2 linked regions of the Mus musculus genome follow. The protein of the gene in region 2 interacts with the protein of the main gene of each other region in a pairwise test. Links are inferred from orthologs where the notes say so. Each region holds a gene or a part of one and is shown on either strand. Other genes may lie near its edges.

What was found.
Region 1: the proteins of Insr (region 2) and Shc1 interact in a two-hybrid assay, tested with the Homo sapiens proteins (2 studies listed by BioGRID and IntAct). The link is inferred for Mus musculus from reciprocal best matches to the Homo sapiens genes INSR and SHC1.

What each region holds. Positions count from the first base shown.
Region 1 is NC_000069.6:89,427,276-89,430,551, reverse strand, and holds the end of Shc1 (SHC-transforming protein 1), read right to left. Parts: coding exon 3,106-3,276; intron 2,236-3,105; coding exon 2,107-2,235; 3' UTR 523-2,106; downstream 1-522. UniProt on the Homo sapiens protein: Signaling adapter that couples activated growth factor receptors to signaling pathways. Participates in a signaling cascade initiated by activated KIT and KITLG/SCF.
Region 2 is NC_000074.6:3,157,436-3,161,256, forward strand, and holds part of Insr (insulin receptor isoform A preproprotein), read right to left. Parts: intron 2,148-3,821; coding exon 2,018-2,147; intron 1,396-2,017; coding exon 1,261-1,395; intron 1-1,260. UniProt on the Homo sapiens protein: Receptor tyrosine kinase which mediates the pleiotropic actions of insulin.

The sequences.
Region 1 (3,276 bases), on a different chromosome or scaffold from region 2:
GGGGCAGCGCAGCCCCCCCGAGCAGCAGCAAGCCCTAGCCACGCCGAGGGGGAAAGCACAGAGCCGTTGCACCAACTGCGCGCCTGCTCCAGACTCACCGCCCGCCCGCAGCCACAGCAACCGGAACCGGAACTCCAATGGGTCACCACCACGGAACGCGGTGGGGAGGGAAAGCAGGGAAGGGCCCAGACGCCGCACCCAGGAAGGCTGGGCCTCGCCACGCCACTCCTCCGAAGTGCGCCTGTCGCCGCCCAGCTAGCCCGGTAGCAGAGTGGAACGCACCACTCGACAGGGGCCGTGCGAGCTGCGGGTGGGCCTGGGGGCGGTCCGGACACGCCCCTTCCCGCCGCGAGCCAGTCGCCTTGCAGATACGTCCCTACCGCACAGCCTCGCAGCTCCCCAAATCTCTGCAAACTGGTGCCTGCGGGCTGGCGCTGGCTTGGAGCCCACTGGACCTAGCCCAGATGGGGTCCGTCACCACCTCCCACAGACAGCCCCCATCAATCAGACTTTCCAGAGGAGTTGAGAGGCCGAGGTAAAAGAAATACGAACTTTAATGAAGACTATTTCCCTTTGGTATAAGACATCCAAACCAAAAATTTGGCGACCATTCCTTGTCCAGAAAGCCTACACACAGAGTGAGCTTGCAAGGTTTCTGTGCTGGCTGCAGCTGCCCGAAAGCAGAAGGTAGGATCTAAAACTATCACATCATAGTCCCACAACACTGCTCAGCCAAATTTCTGCTCAGTTGTCTTGGCGAAAAAGAAAAAGGGGGGGGGGAGGAGTGGGGTACAATCCTGTCCTAGTTAAGGCCAGGGAGTAAAATCCCAACAGTTGTTTAAAAAAAAAAATAAAAGTTTGGAAAAGTCATCGAGGTGATGTATAAATGTAATTGATTATCATAATTCTGTGCTCAAAAGTCAGCAATGAAAAACAAAACCAGGAAAATAAATCTACAGCCCTAAAATGTATACATGTTTTTTAAAAAAGAGAGTGCAGTTCCAGACCTGCAAATGGTATTGGGGATTGTCTACTGCTTCAGTCTTATTGCCTCCACAAAACCCACACTGACTGTACACACCCTGGAGGCCCAAGTCAGACGCACACACCTATCCCAAAGGAGGGAGGCAGGATGGGGTTACAGTGAGGGCTATACTTTGGCTGTAGACTATAACACACATGCAAACATGGGAGGAGCAGGCTTGAGAAATGTATACAGACCCCTTGGAGGAAAGGCATTGAGGTCAGGAGGCACTGAGCAAGATGGGTCCAGTCCTGCCCCTCCCCGCTACCATCAGGAAGAAGGCTCTGGGGTAATCGCTCTTTTTGGTTTTTGGAGACAGGTTCTCTCTCCATAGCCCTGGCTGTCCTGGAACTCACTCTGTTGTAGATCGGATGGCCTCACAATTCCTCCTGTCTCTGCCTCCTGAGTGCTGTGATTAAAGGCGTGCGCCACCATATTCAGGCTTGGGGCAATCTCTTAAGGGCTGCACATCCGAAAGGCAGAGCAGATAGCGGCCACTCCTGTCCCTATTCTCCCTAGACACAGGAAGGGGTGCTGAATAGGACAGGGCTCCAGAAGCCAAGGTGGCAGTAACCCCTGTCCACACGTGAAGGGCCTGAGAACTCTGCATTAAGTATCTGCAGACCTATGATAGTCAAAGGCACAAAGTTTAAGGGGAAGCAGAGGGAGTGGGATATGTTATGCGGGATCTGGGGTACCCTGAAGACCCAGGAGTAAACCAGAGGTATAATTATTTCCCTTCCCCCAAAGGGCAGTTGCTCCACTGGGCCTATCATCACAGGGCATTTTCCATTATAAGAACCCACCCTTTGGGGGGGAAGGGCATCAGGTTGGCACAGGCAAGGCCCAGACAAGGGACCACTCTGCACATTAATACTTTGGTGAAGTTTGGCCAGAGGCAGGATGCTACCCCAGGCTCCTTACTGAAACCCTCTTTTTCTCTCTCTCAAGTGGGCACTAAACCCATGTCCTCGTTGCTCCCAGTTCCCACCCAAGGCCAGACCCACAAAACAGAGGTCCCACAAGTTAGAGAATACGGGAGACGGAAATGGAGAGCATCCTGTTGGAGAAGCTGAGAAGGATCACACTTTCCGATCCACGGGTTGCTGTAGGCACAGTTCGCTGCCCGCAGAGATGATGGGCAAGTGATTGTCCATGTGGTAGCTGATCAGGTGACTGACACTCTCAAAGCGGTGATCCTTTGTCCGAACCTGGGAGGCAGGGAGAGAAGGTTGGGTCAAGAGAAGAGCTCAGGAAGACTGAGGAAGGCGGGCCAGCAGCCGTGATTATCCAGGCATCTTTACAGAAAAGACAGTCACATGGGTGGGAATGGGCAGTGAACTGGGCGAAGGGGAAGGAGACCAGAAATCACGGAAGCTGACAGTGAAAATTCTGACTTGAAGGAAGCTGGTGTCTCTCAAAAGTGACACAATGCAAAACCAAGGTGGAAAAAATGCTGAGAAGAGAAAAGAAACTGAGCAGAGCGGTGGCGGCACAGCCTTTAATCCCAGCGCTGGGGAAGCAGGGCAGGCGGAGCGCTTCAGTTCGAGGTCAGCCTGGTCTACAGAGTGAGTTCCAGGGCTACACAGAGAAACCCCGTCTTGAACCTCACCACCACCCCTCCCCTAAAAAAAAAAAGAAGAAAAAGAAAAGAAACCAAGGTTGTATGGAATAGTAAGGCAGGTTAGATTTGTTGAAAACAAAACAAAACAAAACAAAACCCTGAGTTTGAAGCTAAGGAGCTAGGGAGGCTCCTGACTCCTCTTGCAAGAGAAAATTTGGGGTCTCCACCCCCTAACCACTGACACTGGGCACCACTGCCTTTCCAGTGTCATTTCCTCACTTAGCAAAAGATCAAGTAAGCACTCTCTGGGGGCTGGCAGGCTTCACTGGGATGTGAGGACTGGTCAGAACTGAGAAGAACACAGCTCAGACTCGAGGACAGCAGGGAAGGAACCCTGAGCCACTGCAGGTGGATGCAAGTGTCCAGCAAGGGCAAAGGAGTCCACAGGAAGCCTCCGGCAAAGGAAGTCTAGAAAGCAAAACCACACCAGCCCCTGCCACACCTCTGTCACACTTACCACACCTTCAGGGTCCACCAGCAGCAAGTGCTTGGGCTGCCCACTCTGCAGGCCAGTGAGCACATACTGGCCAGGCGTGGTCGTGCTCTCTCGCACCAAGAAGTCACCATTGAGCTGCAGCAGCGCCTCGGCCTCCCTCCGGCTCAGCTTCCCGTGGAACCAGGGCTCCCC
Region 2 (3,821 bases):
CAGGGTGGGGAAGTCAGGGCAGTAGGAACTCAAAGCACCTAGTCACAGCACACTCGGTCAAGAGCAGATAGAGAATGGACACGGGCAAGCTTGCTCAGCCTGCTTCCTCCACTTTATATAGAGAGTTCAGGACCCTCTGCACAGGAAACGGTGCCTCGTAGAGGTGACATCAACTAACACAATCAAGACAATCCCCATCGACATGCCCACCAGCCAGCGTTGTCTAGACAAGCCCTCAATGACAACTGACTATGACAAATGAAAACTCTACAAGTGTTCATCCCTCAAGCCTGAGAACCTGAGTTAGATCCTCAGAGCCTACATTTAAAAAAAAAATGTACACATTTGGGGCTGGAAAGGTGGCTCAGTGGCTAGCTGCTCTTCCAGAGGACTCAGGTTCAATTCCTAGCACCTGCACAGCAGCTCACAACTGTCTGTAAGTCCAGTTCCAGTGGATCCAACACCCTCACACAGACATACATGCAGGAAAAACACCAATGCAAATAAAATATAAATAAGTAAGTAATTTTTAAAAAATGTACACATTTACAATCCCAGGGCTGGGACGATACAGGCAGGAGGATCCAAGGGACTCAATGGCTGGCCAGCCAGCTTAGCTGAATCAGTGAGAACCACACCAATGAAGGGCCATGTCTCAATGGAGATGAGTAGTAAGTACTTCTCAGGATGATGCCCTCCACACATTTATATACTACACACAGGTACACATAAGTGCATTTTTAAAAAAAAAAAGATTTAAGGGGCTAAAGAGATGGCTCAGTGGTTAAGAGCATTTGCTTCTCTTGAAGTGGACTAAGGTTTAGTTCCTGGCACCCATGTATTGGTTCACAACCACCTGTAATTCCAGGTCCAGAGGACCTAACACCCTCTCCTAATGTCTTTGGGCACCAAGTATATATATGTTATGAACATACGTGTAGGCAAACACTCATATACCTAAGATAAAAATAAATCTTTAAAATGGATTTGATATGCAAATATATGTATGTCAACTGCATGACACATGCACCAGCATAAATATATGTAAGCATAAACATATATGTAGGCACATGTGAAAATGAAAGTGGGCATCCAAGATACAATATGCGAATACAAGCCTGGATGTAAAGGCATGCTATATAAACATATGTGGGCATAAGGCCTGCAAACCAAATCCATGCATATGTACCTAAAATATACAGACACAAAACATATGTAATGTGCAAACCCTCACACACTCCAGATATTTTCTATACTTACAGTCTCTCTGGACAGTTATCAGGGGGATCCAGATAGCCTCCATCCATGACAAACTTCAACACCTGTTCATTAGACAGGCCTTGATAAGGTTGCTCAGCCAGGCTAGTGATTTCCCAAAGGACCACCCCAAAGGACCTGCCAATGACAATTGAACGCAGTAAACAAAGAAGCCAACAAAACGTACAATAGTCTCTATCTCAGATACATTTGTTCAATACCCCTTTTGGCTTACTAGAACTTTGTTGACCAATGAATAGAACAAGTGATGGACTAAGGTGATATCTCAGTTGGCAAAGTCCTTTGCACCAAAGCATGAGGACCTGAGTTCAATGCCCAAAAACCTGAGTAAAGACCTGGATGTGCAAGCCAGGAAGATATCTCAGTGGGCAGCACTTGGTGCCCAGCCTGATGGCCTGAGTTAGATCCTCAGGCTTCATACGGAGGTGGGTGGAGAGAATTGATTTCCACAAGTCGTCCTTTGTCCTCCACATCTGTGCCATAGCACGGTCACACCTGCATCTCACACATGCACATGCATGCACCCACAGTGATTTATATTATAATTCATGAATAAGTTCTAAGACTATCCTCAATCAATACATAAAGATAGCCATCTAAGAGAACCCAGACAGATAAACCTTCATTTCTATATGTGAAAGATGGGCTTTCCTCTATCACCTCCTGATGAGCACATTAGTGGGACACCTTCAGGAGTTCAAGCCCAGCACTAATATCCACCCATGTATGTATAACTCACCACATATCAGAAGAAGCAGTAAAGACTCCATCCTTCAGGGACTCAGGTGACATCCACCTCACAGGAAGCAGTCCCTTGCCCCCTTTCCGATAGTAATCTGTCTCGTAGATGTCCCTTGTCATTCCAAAGTCTGACAACAAACAGTGCACAGGTTTTTCAGGTCATCCTCCTACCATCTTGAGTGCTCTACCCCTTGAAGCACCACTAGAGCTGAGGGTAGCAGGCAAACTCAGAGGGAAAGGATTCTTGAGGTGTATGGAGGGTGTGGATGGAGAATAGGGGCTGTCATCCTTCCACCCACTCCTTCCCCAGTGTCCCAAACAGATCCTTTTCCTTTATCCAAATAATATGTTGCTCTCTCGACTAAACTTGGGGTCTCCTTTTGACCTTGCTTCTTGCTGACACTTCCAAACAGTGGGCAAGCAAGCCTTTCTGCCTCTACATCTCTCTCTGATTCATCTCACTTCTCATTGCCCTTCAGTAGTCTAGGCTCCCCTCCATATCCCCCCAGTACATCCTCCAACCTGACAACATCCTACTACACAAGGGCGGTGATGTGAATAGAAGCATGTTCCTTCCAGTTCTCAATGCTTTTGTTTCTTTCTTTCTTGAGACGAGCTCTCGCAGATTTTAGGGTAACTTTGGACTTGCTACATAGCTGAGGATGACAATGAGTTTTTGATCTTCCTGCCTCTACTTCTCCAAGTGTCCAGATACATGCACCACCACACCTGGGTTTTGTATGGATTTTCTTGTTGCTCATGTAGAAAGTCTTTAGGATAATAAATATTGAATCATGTCCCATCTCCCTTCATATAGATTGATGTCTTTGAGCATATTCCTATATGACTCCCATTGTTACGTAGAAATATAATATATAATATATCTCCTAGAATCATACATAGGTTCATCTCCCTATGTGCTTCCATAACTAATGTGGGGGGGGGCGGGGGGAGATATGTTTTCAGATCTTTATGGGATCTTGCCTGTTCCTGATTCTCACTGATTTTGTAGAGGAGAGGCAAATAAATCCTATAGCTTACAAAGCCCTTACATACCTGCTTCTTGGCTTTCAATGTAACCTCACAGCACACTGTCCTTGGGTTCCTCTATATCCATCCTATCCACACATATCCTATCCACCAGCATTCTAGGCACTTACCATCTGCTTCTGTTGTCTCTTTCTTCTGCATTCTCTGACTTAAGCCTTTAGTCTTGTCAGAACCTATACTAAGTTTTATAGTAAGTTTTAACTGTCATCTGAGCACAGGCTAGAGTCTCCAGACAGAAAATCCTCCACTGAAGAATTACCTATATCAGATTGACCTATGGGCATGCCTATGAGGGTTGTCTTGATCATTGATATAGAAGGGCTAAGCTCACTGTGGGCATCACCATTCCCTTGGAAGAGACTCCTGGGCTATATATAAAAGCTACTAAGCATGAGCCAGAACAAATCAGCAAGCAGCATTATTTCATGGTTTCCATTTCAAGTTCTTTGCCTGACTTCCCTCAGTGATAGACTATAAGATGAAACAAATTCCTTCCTCCCCAAGTTGTTATATTTATTTAATTAATAACTTACTTACTTATTTTTGACTAAACGGAAACTAGAACAGAAATGTTAGCTTTCTGGGCTGGGAAAATGCCCAGAGTGGGTAAAAGTCTTTTTCAGGCAGCATAAGATGAATTTAGGACCCAAGAATCTGCCATGCCACCCACACCCTATGACGCACACGCTCACACAATACACATTCATACATACACATACACATACACATACATACATACATACATACATACA